Linked DNA regions of Macaca fascicularis. The protein of the gene in region 2 interacts with the protein of the main gene of each other region in a biochemical or structural test. Links are inferred from orthologs where the notes say so. Each region holds a gene or a part of one and is shown on either strand. Other genes may lie near its edges.

Region 1 (4,299 bases), on a different chromosome or scaffold from region 2:
AATTTCAGTAGAGACTTGGGGTAAGGTAATTTAAATTATTTTTACTTGATTCTATGAGAAGTTGTTATGCAAATAATTTATTTTTGTAATTACCATAACAAAAACCATTTCTAGCAGAATATTTCAAGGCCATTTTTGTTTCATGTCATTTGGGTAATAAAGTTAACTCTGCAATGTGTTTATCTATAATAGGTAATTAGATATAGATGACTACTTTGTACTGATTATTAAATTTAGATATTCAGAAAGACACAAATAGTAAATTTATTTGGGTTCAAAATATGCCTTGTTTATTAACACATTTAGATTCTAAAATTTGTAGACTGAAGCAATATATATAAATGTCAACATAGTATGTTGATTAATATGTGAACCAATAGCATGTGTGACCTGATTTTTTTTCTAATGATTTCTCTGGAAACCATTTTCCCGGTACATGTGAATGTCCATATTTCTGGGTGCTTGCAACTTAATGAAACTAAAGAAATCAAATATAAGACATGTCAATATTTTGATTCTATCCAATTCAATCATCTTCATGCATTTATGTCATGAATATTCCAATGTAGCAAAACATGAAGTTATGACTAGATTATTTTTAAAAATAATTGAAGGAGATGAATAGCTTTTACATAACATGCAGACAGGATTTTTCATGAAGACTCTAAAAGAAAAGAATGCTCTCAAATAGATTTAAAAGAGAAACTCATTTTCAAAAATTTTCAATCAAATTAAATTCCAGTTCTCAGTGGATTTTACTTTATTGCTCACTTTAGAAAATCTGATTTGTGATCTAGGAGGAAAAGTGTTTTCTTTTTTCAATTGTATTTCAAAATTAGCACTTCTCTGTTTCTCTAAGCCCATATTATTACATTAAGGACAAAATGTCATGTTTTAAAGAGTTAGTGAAGAAAAATGTTTGTACGAAATAAGTATTTCTGAATAATATAAGAACTATGACTAGAATGATAAACATTGATATTGAGTAGTAAGGTTTTTAAAATCTTAAGTTTATAAAAATTCACGTTACAGCTCCTCAAATCAGCCTATTTTATCATCATTTGCTCCTTTGTTGAAAAATCAAGGGTTTTTTTTTTTCAGGAAATAAATTTAATATAATATGCTATCTTCAAACCACACTGAAGGATGGTGTTAACAGTTTCTAATTCTCCATACACCTTTCTAATTTTCCAGTACCTTTAAACTAAGGAATGAGTCATCTCATTAACTTACCATTCTCTACATCACAATAACAATGTTTTTAGATATGGTGTAATCTCCTGTGGTTTCTAAGGAACCACTCTGATCACCTGGTTTATGGCTATCCTTTCAATTGGTAATTCAACACAAGTTTTATGTGTAATTTTATATTGATAATGGAAAACAAGTTGAGATGATTAATAAAGTGTAAAAGCAACTTTATGTAAGCCATGAAATAAATAAATAAATAAATAAAAATAATACTATCTAACTCTTTCTTTTTTTGTCCTCTTACATAGGCTTTTATCACCATGAAGCTTCTCATTCTCACTTGTCTTGTGGCTGTTGCTCTTGCCAGGCCTGTAAGTTCAGTAGAGAATTTAGAAAGATTTAGATTCTTGTTAGAAATGACCTAACACTTCATCAAATATGGGATACCCAGAGGAATAATCTTCAAGCACTGCATGATCTCTAGTTGGCCTCTGAAGGCTTGACAATAGAAATACAGTAATGCTTCCCATTTTCATCATTGTTATACAGTCCACTGAGAGCCATAACTCTGAATAAAATGTCTGGCTTGAATTATAAGCACCCCACAATAAAAAAGAGCTAAAAATTTAAAAGTAAGAAAAAGAATAAGGTAGTGCACAACATAATAAGTAGCATCAAACAATGTGATTAGGCCTGTTCCTTGAGTCTACTACAAAATTCTCATGTTTCTAAAAATGTAATAGTAATCCAACATTTCTTTACCAAATATAACACAAAGCCACATATTCCAATGTATCCTACTTTTGGAATCAAAATCAAACCCTCATCTGAGATGGCTTGTGTCAACTTTTCTTCCCCCCACAAGGGATAGAAACCTGGGGTGATTCAGCTGATTGAGTGATCAATTTATTGTGGTCACTGTAAACAATGTAAATAATGAAATTAGATAATGTATATTAAAATTACCTTTCTTCTCAAAAAGAGTGTTTATATCAATTAGATAGGGATGTGAACCAAAAAGTTTCTCTATTCTCTTGTTATGTGTAGTTAATGAATGAGAAGAATAAACACCTGACTGAAAAAAACATCAGTTTAGAGGGATGATTGGAGATATTTGGACACTGAAATTATCTCATACAGAAGCAAAATTTCTGAAATGCAGATATAGTCTGTTGTTTGCACTGACAGACTTGTTCTCTAAATTCCCCTTTGGAAACTGCAGAATCAATCATTGTCAACTTCTGAACCAATAGTCTTTGTTTATGCTATAATCTAAGCATCAATAGAAAGAAATCTCTGCTTGCAAGTTACCAAAACAATGATACATCTTCCTCAGGAATGAACCATCTGAGCAGTTCTTATCTTGTCATTTTACCAGGAAGTGGGGAAAAGCAGCCCAGAAAATAGATGCTACACTTTTATTCCAAAGGAAACAATAGAGTTATGTGTTTGTTTGTTTATGTCACTGTTTAACATGAAGTCTATGCAGATTGAGATCAATTGTCATATAATTTAAGTGATGATAAAAATAAAACCTAGACAATATACCCAAAGGATTATAAATCATGCTACACCCAAAGGATTGTAAATCATGCTGCTATAAAGACACATGCACATGTATGTTTATTGAGGCACTATTCACTATAGCAAAGACTTGGAACCAACCTAAATGTCCATCAATGATAGACTGGATTAAGAAAATGTGGCACATACACACCATGGAATACTATGCAGTCATAAAAATGGATGAGTTCATGTCCTTTGTAGGGACATGGATGAAGCTGGAAACCATCATTCTCAGCAAACTATGGCAAGGACAAAAAACCAAACACCGCATGTTCTCACTCATAGGTGGGAATTGAACAATAAGAACACTTGGACAGGGGAAGGGGAACATCACACACTGGGGCCTGTTGTGGGGTGGGGGCAGCGAGGAGGGATAGCGTTAGGAGATATACCTAATGTAAATGACGAGTTAATGGGTGCAGCACACCAGCATGGCACATGTATACATATGTGACGAACCTTCATGTAGTGCACATGTACCCTAGAACTTAAAGTATATAAAAATAAAAAATAAAAATAAAACCCAAACATTTGAATTAGGAAATTATAATTTGACCAACATTTTTTTATACTAGTTTAAAATCATCTTTAGAATTTTGGTGTAATATAAATAATTCAGAAAACTAAATAAATTGTTTATTATTCTAACCCAGAATTATAAATTCTAACCCAGAATTTTTCTTTTTAAAAGATGTTTTACATAGTTTTCTCAACTCCCAGCCACAATCTAAAGAAAGGAAATGATTATTTTCCTTTGATATTTGTCTATAAGATAATTATGATTTCTTTTTTTCCACTGTATTCCCAGAGAAACTTGGTCTCTGACAAATATTGTTATTAAAACACATACCTTTTGGAAATAGCAGTGTCAAAAATCATCATATGTGTATTATTATATTGTTACTGTCATTTTAGTTACTTTTTGTTTTACAATTCTTGCATTGTTTTTCACAGAAACTTCCTCTTAGATACCCAGAACTCCTTCAGGTAAATACTCTATTCTGCATTCCAAGAACTCACTCTAATTGTGAAGTGTATACTCCAAATGTGCTCTTCCTTTCTCTATGAAACAGCCTGTTTCACTTTTGCTGACGCACCATTTCTTTAGTTCAAGCACTGCCAGACGTAATTTGCTCTCACAAACTTAGAGGACGACACACAGACTTAGAAAAAAAAAATAATAATAAAGGTCTTATTTTTATCCAAGAGAAGTAGTTAATTAAACAGAATCTGTTGACGTGCTTATTTTAATGTATTCTTGCTTTTTTTCATTGTTACACATATTCAAGCCTGTGATTTACAGTTTGGTCTCATTAGAGATGTTGAATCTTGAATTAGTTACCTCTATCACAACTTTCTATGAGCACAACTAATCCTACATTCTGTACTGCAATTGGAATAATACCATTTTAAACTTACTATTTTTTACAGAATCCATCAGAGAGCAGTGAGGTAAGCTCTGTTTATGAGGAGTCAAGATTCTCTCTTCCTTTTGCTCTCTTTCAGTTTGCTATCATGCATGTTGATTGTCTTCTTCTTTAC
Region 2 (7,197 bases):
AACATGAGCAAGGCCCCAACTCAAAAAAAACAAAATCAGCTCTGCCACCCTGGAGAGTCCCCTGGTGACAATGGGTTGGAGCTAAGGACCAGGTGCCCCTGCAGACAGAACCCATGCCAGGTCACCACAGTCCTCCTGATTGCCTTATTGCCTCATGTCTGGCACCCACATATGTTACCTGCCTACACCCTGCAGGAATGAAGCTTGGAAACCTGAACTAGCTCAGCAGGGGCAAAGGTTTTGGATGAAAACCATGGGACCCCTATAGTGGTGTGTGTGTGTGTGGGCAGGGAGCATCTAGAGCCAAGGAGATGCTGCTCAGGAAGCTTCTTGAGTTCCAGTCTGAACCAAACCCCTGGCTGCTCTATCAGCCCATGGGAGAATTTAGCCAGGCCGACTTCCTGGAAGCAGAGATTTCCTTCTTACGCCCATCTCTCTTGTCCCAGACCAGCGCCGTGGACATCTTCTCTGCAGGCTGCGTGTTCTACTACGTGCTTTCTGGTGGCAGCCACCCCTTTGGAGACAGTCTTTATCGCCAGGCAAACATCCTCACAGGGGTTCCCTGTCTGGCTCACCTGGAGGAAGAGGTCCATGGTGAGGGAGCCCTGGGCTGGGCAGAGAAGGGAGGAAGGGCAAGACACTAGGCAGGCCTGAAGCAGACTTTTCTCTTCCTCTTCCATCCTCCAGACAAGGTGGTTGCCCGGGACCTGGTTGCAGCCATGTTGAGCCTGCTGCCACAGGCACGCCCCTCTGCCCCCCAGGTGCTGGCCCACCCCTTCTTTTGGAGCAGAGCCAAGCAACTCCAGTTCTTCCAGGTCAGAAGGAAAGCTTGGGAATGGTCCCCAAAAGTCCTAAGTTTGGGTCCTGGGCAATTAGAAATGGGATATTAGATTGGCTGAGGGAAAACAGGAAGAGCTACCTGGTCCTGGCAACCTGGCTCTTTCCCTAAACTGGGACCCAGCCTGGACTCCTAAACTCCACCATCTTGGCACTCTCCGGTCCACTCACTGCCAGCTTCGCCAGCCCCAGCTACCCTTTGTATGGGAATATAGCCCATTCCTTTCCACCTGAGTCGTCACTCATGCTGTGCCAGTAGCCCACTGCACTTGTGTGAACTTGAGCAAGAGACTTCGTGCCTCTGAACTGCAGTTTGCTCATCTGTAGAAAGGGGACAGCAGTACCAAGCTCATAGGTTGGTGGTAAATAACAGAGGCGTGGCATAGAGAAGCTTCACGCCCCCAGAGGCAATGATCCTTGTCAGTCACCCTAAATCACTCCCCTAAGTCAGACAACACACTCCTGGCTATGTGGCATCTGGCCCCGGTCACAAGGCTCAGGAGCTCTCTGGGGCCTCAGGATGTCAGTGACTGGCTGGAGAAGGAGTCTGAGCAGGAGCCCCTGATGAGGGCACTGGAGGCAGGAGGCTGCGCGGTGGTCCGGGACAACTGGCACGAGCACATCTCCATGCCACTGCAGACAGGTAGAGGCTACACTCAGGTGGGCCTGGGTGGTGGAGGGGAGCCCAGCAGGGACAGTTTCAGGACACTGAATTCCCTGTCCACAGACCTGAGAAAGTTCCGGTCCTATAAGGGGACATCAGTGCGAGACCTGCTCCGTGCTGTGAGGAACAAGGTATGTGTTGGGGCCTGGGTGGGCCTGGGTCTTGGGGAAGCACGGCTGCAGCTGAGCCAGGGTTCTCTTGCTCTACCTACCCCCAGAAGCACCACTACAGGGAGCTCCCAGTTGAGGTGCAACAGGCACTTGGCCAAGTCCCTGACGGCTTCGTCCAGTACTTCACAAACCGCTTCCCACAGCTGCTCCTCCACACGCACCGAGTCATGAGGAGTTGCGCCTCTGAGAGCCTCTTCCTGCCCTACTACCCACCAGACTCAGAGGCCAGGGGGTCGTGCCCTGGGGCTGCAGGGAGGTGAGGTGGGCCGGAGGCCACACAAATGGTCTCCATGCTGGCTAGCTGAAGAGCTGAGCCTGTGGCTGGCCTCAGAATCAGAATCAGAAAAGACTGCCAGGCTGGGTGCAGTGGCTCACGCCTATAATACCAGCATTTTGGGAGGCTGAGGTGAGAGGATCACTTGAGCTCAGGAATTCCAGACCAGCCTGGCCAACATGGCAAGACCCCACCTCTACAAAACATTTGAAAAATTAGCCAGGCATGGTGGCGCACGCCTGTAGTCCCAGCTGCTTGGGAGGCTAAGGTGGGAGAATCGCTTGAGCCCAGGAGTTCCAGGCTGCAGAGAGCCAGGATCATGCCACTGCACTCCAGTCTGGTCCACAGACACTGTCACCCCCTACCCCCCACAAGACTGGCAGAGGCTGGGCAGCCTGGGGCTGATGAAGCAGAGATGTTCCCTGGATCCCAGGCCCTGGCACCCCTCAGGAAATACAAGAAAAAGAAGATTCACATCTGTTTAATGTGTATAAAGCCAAGGAAAGGACAGTTCCGAACTCAATAGAAATATTCTGTACAATTCATATGGTGGGGTTGAGGGGGAGGGGACGAGGCTGTAGAACCCACACCCGAACATGTACAAAAATAACTTACACAGCAACCCCCACCTGCAAGGATGATGCAGCTCTGCCCAGCCACCGGGGCTGGGGGGCACACTGCAGACATGGCACCGCAGGAGCCAACCAGTATGGGCCCCAGATGCTGGTGGGAGTGAGGAGGGCACCAGTCCGGAGGGGAGGGCAGCTATTAGGAGGCCTTGAGGCGGTTGCTGGCCGAGCGTGAGCTCAGCAGCTTGTCCACCATAGTGCGGGCATAGCGGAGCCGGCTGGCCAGCTCCTTGCAGCAGCCGTACTCCTCCAGGAGACTCAGGCGGTACGTGCGGAAGTCCCGCTTCTCATCGATGTAGGTCACGGCTGCCATCAGTGGGCACAAGATGAGCTTGGTGTGATCCTGCAAGAGAAGAGGGGCAGGGATTGCTGATCCCAGAGGCCAGTGTATGTTAGGGAGTAGAGGGAAGACACAACAGGTTATAGGTACCTGAGCCATTCACTCCATACTCAACTCACATGGGCCACTGCCAAGCACGTGGAGCCTACCCCAGCTCTCTCCTGCCCCTGGTGACATCCAGCTCACCTGGAAGAAGTTGATCTGCACGCTGCCATTGCTGAGGTGCAGGATGATGGCACTGCGGGTGCGGAACCAGGTCCGCAGGTAGGGCAGCCGGGCGAGCTCATCACCTTCACGCGGCGTGATGTTGGCACCTGCCTTCAGCAAATGCTCACTCATGTAATTGCGGAAATATTTAAGGAGGGTGATCTGGATGAAAAGTAAGTGAGGGGTTCCAGAATTAGAGTCTCGCCCTCCAGCACAGGTCCCACTCCCGCAATAGCCGGACGGCACTTACCTTCTTCATCAAGGAGTTGGGATGGGAACTCACGGTGAGGTAGGACTCGGTGCCGTCACGCTCTATGTACTGCAGGCTGTCACCATCGTTGTAGAGGATGAGGCGTGTTGAGTCATTGAAGAGCACCCCCACGCTGTTATCACAGAGCTGATACCCTAGGGATCAGTGGAGAGAGGTCTCAGAAAGGGGGAATAGAAAGTGGGGAGTGGGGCTGGGTGCGGTGGCAGATGCCTGTGATTCCAGCACTTTGGGAGGCTGAGGGGGGAGGATTGTTTGAGCCTAGGAGTTTGAGACCAGTCTGGGCAATGTAATGAGACCTCATCTCTACAAACTATTTTAAAAATTAGCTGAGCGTGATGGTGCATGCCTGTAGTCCCAGCTACTTAGGAGGCTGAGCCTGCAGCCAGGCATAAGCCTGGAAGTTTGAGGCTGTAGTGAGTCATGACTGTGCCACTGCACTCCAGCCTGGGCGACAGAGTAGGACCCTGTCTCTGGGCAGTGGGGGAAAAAGGCTGGGGAGTCGGGGAGCACTGGGAGCTGGAATTGGGAGGCCTGGGATGGAGAAAGGAGGGCACTAAGAGTACCTGGGAGCTCAAAAAGGCCAGAGCCTGTAACAACTGAAAAGGTTACCTGGCTGTGCCTGAGTCACCCACCTGGTTCTGGAAGAAACCTACCAAGGCCGTACTTGTCCGAATAGTCCACCCACTTGCTGACCCAGAAGATGGGGATGCAGGCAGGATCCTCAGCCTCCTCTAAGACAGAAACAGACAGACAGTTGGTCAGGACCAGCCTCTTCTTCTCTGGTCCACACATGTGGCCCACACCAGGGAACAAGGAAGCCTGCTGGGCACACCACCTGGGCTCAGTTGAGAGGCCTAGGGCCCCAGAGAAGAGCAAAGCAGGGCCTCTGCTGCCAACAGGCTCAGACAAGCAGCAGCATAGACATCTCTACACAGAAAGTTTCAACACAGCGCACCAAGTTCCACTCACTCCTTCATTCCACTGACCCATTTACTGAAGGCCTACCGTGCCAGGCACTGTTGCAGGTACAGTGAGCAACAGACAAAACCCCAGCCTCCACAGAGCTTACACTGTGGTTGCAGGGGCAAAGACTAATCAAATTAAGTATGGGCAAAATACCAGTGACTTCTATCATGGTAAGAGTCAGAGACATCTAGTTTTCCAGTTTGGAGTAATTAGGAAACTGTGAAGACAGACGCCGGCTGCAAACACATGAAAATGTTATATTCAGTGCATGCAACAAACACCTTACTTTAAATCCAATCAAAGAAGAAGGACGTGTTGGACTATGTTGGGTGAGAAGTGTTATGGAAAACTATGCAGTGGGTAAGGGGATGCGAAGCACCAGCAGAGGGGCCAGGGAGATGCTCACGGAGGTGACACCGGAGCAGACACTTGAAGGAGGCCACAGTGTGAGCCATGTGGTGTCTGGAAGAAGTGCTTTCATGCCAGGGCCAGGGAGAAAGCCCTGAGGCTGCAGTACGTCTGGGTCTGTTATTTCAAGGGTCTTGAAGAAACAACAGGAACTTACTGAGCAAAAGAAACAGCGTGTGAAGGTGGCACATCGAGGTGCTAGAGTAAGAGACGGATCAGAAAAGAAGGCAGGAGCCACAGCAAGCAGGGCCTCGGATATCAGGAAATGGGGAAACCAATGGTCCTATGGAGACGGGGCCTGGACAAGTCACCAGTGCTTTGTTGGCCAAGGCTCCTCCTGCCTTCTCCAGATGCCCCAAGCAATCCTGCCCCGCCCAGGGCCCCGCAGTACCCACCTTGCCTGACCAGCCCGCGCTCCGAGGGCTTGGAGGCATTGACACTGTGCAGCTGCTGCAGCATGTCACTGAGGTGGCAGTCGACCACCTCACCTGTCTCTCGAACCACTGGTTCTTCCTTTTCCCGGGTACGCTCAGGCAGGGGGTTCTCCAAGCCTAGAAAGGTGACAAAAACAGGGGCGTTGGGAAGGGCATAGGACTCCCCTGCCACAGCTGAAACTCTTCCAAAAGAAAAATTCTCTTAGCTACCATTGCTTTGGGGAAACTGAGTCAGTGCCTGGTTATTAGAGCAGCAGCTGCCATGCTCAGGTGACAGGCACAAGTGCTCACTGTGAGGCAACAGATCTTCAGATGCTCTGGCCTCTGACCCAACGATGTGGCCCTGCAGGATACGACCTGCCACTCAGGCAAACAGCTTGAAGGCAACAGCAGCTCAGAGCTGCCCAGCTTCGAGCAAAGAATTAAAAGCATCTTCAGCATCCAGGCAGATGGAAGGGCTGAGTAGTTCAGTTCATCCACAGAATGGATTCAGTTGGCATTTAAATAAAAACACAAGAAATTTTTTTCCACCCCAAAATTTGCTTTATATGCTTATTTATAACCAAAAAAAGCTTGAAAAGATACATGAAATTTTAACGCTGATTATATCTGGGCAGTAGAAACACAGATTATTTTTGTTGTCTTTTTCCTTATTTATTTATTCCCCCACCAACATGTGGTAATTCTCCTTGCATAATATAAAATGTTTAAGTTTTCAATTAAAAAACAATGCCATGATAGGGACTTAGGTATGAAATAATAAGATATTAGGGATTTGCTTTAAACACTCCAGCAAGGCCAGGCCTAGTGGCTCACACCTGTAATCCCAACACTGAGAGGCCAAGGCAGGTAGACTGAGCTCAGGAGTTTGAGACCAGCCTGAGCAACATGGCAAAACCCTGTCTCTACTAAAAATACAGAAACTAGCTGGACATGCTGTCCCAGCTACTTGGGAAGCTGAGGTGGGAGAGTCACTTGAACGCAGGAGGTGGAGGCTGCTCTAAGTCATGATCTTGCCACTGCACTACAGCCTGGGCAAAAAAGCAAGACTGTCTCAAATAAATAATAAATAATAATAAATAGTAAATAATAATTTTTTTAAACTCCAGTAACAAAAAAGGCAGAGGCTGGAATAAATAAAAAAAGTCTGTCCAAATGTTGATAAGTAGTAAAAATAGATGAAACATGGGACTCATCATACAGTTCTCTCCACCTTTGGGTAACTGAAAATTTCCTTAAGTTTTTAAAATGCTATATGAAAAATTAAAACTGAAAGACAAAAAGTAGGAGGCTGAGGCAGGAGGATCACTTAAGCTCAAGAGTTCGAGACCAGTGTGCGCAACAGGGCAAGACCTCATCTCTACAAAAAATTTAAAAATTGGTCAGACGTGGCACGTGCCTACAGTCCCAATTACTTGGGAGGCTGAGGGTGGAGGATCACTTGAGCCCAGGAGGTCAAAGCTACAGTGAGGTACAACTGTGCCACTGTGTTCCAGCCTGGGAAACAGAGCAAGACCCTGTCTCAAATTAAAAAAAATAAATGAAAACAGAGAAATAAGTAATCCTTTAAAATATAGCCCAAAGAATAAAATATCCATGAGTCTATTTCAGACATAACCAAATAAATAAATCAATGGGAGAGAAGGAACAGCTCTTCCTTACAGGAGAATTCCAATTATTAAATGTAGAAAAAGTAAGGAAAAGAAAAATTGCCATTAGAACATCACTGTAGGCAGGACACAGTGGCTCACGCTTGTAATCCTAACACTTTGGGAGGCAGAGGAGGATCACTTGAGGGCAGGAGTTTGAGATAAACCTGGTCAACATAGTGAGATCTTGTCTCTACAAAAAAAATTTTTTTTTTTTTTTTTTTTTGAGACAGTCTTGCTCTGTTGCCCAGGCTGGAGTGCAGAGGTGAGATCTCGGCTTACTGCAACCTCCACCTCCCGGGTTCAAGTGATTCTTGTGCCTCAGTCTCCTGAGTAGCTGAGATTACA

Evidence for each region.
Region 1: of the proteins of PLK1 (region 2) and CSN1S1, one has a biochemical effect on the other in vitro, tested with the Homo sapiens proteins (2 studies listed by BioGRID). The link is inferred for Macaca fascicularis from reciprocal best matches to the Homo sapiens genes PLK1 and CSN1S1.

The regions. Positions count from the first base shown.
Region 1 is NC_088379.1:64,019,592-64,023,890, reverse strand, and holds the start of CSN1S1 (alpha-S1-casein), read left to right. Parts: upstream 1-1,499; 5' UTR 1,500-1,511; coding exon 1,512-1,562; intron 1,563-3,711; coding exon 3,712-3,744; intron 3,745-4,188; coding exon 4,189-4,209; intron 4,210-4,299. UniProt on the Homo sapiens protein: Important role in the capacity of milk to transport calcium phosphate. Casoxin D acts as opioid antagonist and has vasorelaxing activity mediated by bradykinin B1 receptors.
Region 2 is NC_088394.1:22,756,234-22,763,430, reverse strand, and holds the end of PLK1 (serine/threonine-protein kinase PLK1), read right to left. Parts: intron 5,318-7,197; coding exon 5,162-5,317; intron 4,124-5,161; coding exon 4,046-4,123; intron 3,527-4,045; coding exon 3,372-3,526; intron 3,284-3,371; coding exon 3,101-3,283; intron 2,918-3,100; coding exon 2,714-2,917; 3' UTR 2,411-2,713; downstream 1-2,410. Other genes in the region: ERN2 (serine/threonine-protein kinase/endoribonuclease IRE2), read left to right, coding at 447-594, 688-815, 1,357-1,480, 1,565-1,632, 1,719-1,931. UniProt on the Homo sapiens protein: Serine/threonine-protein kinase that performs several important functions throughout M phase of the cell cycle, including the regulation of centrosome maturation and spindle assembly, the removal of cohesins from chromosome arms, the inactivation of anaphase-promoting complex/cyclosome (APC/C) inhibitors, and the regulation of mitotic exit and cytokinesis.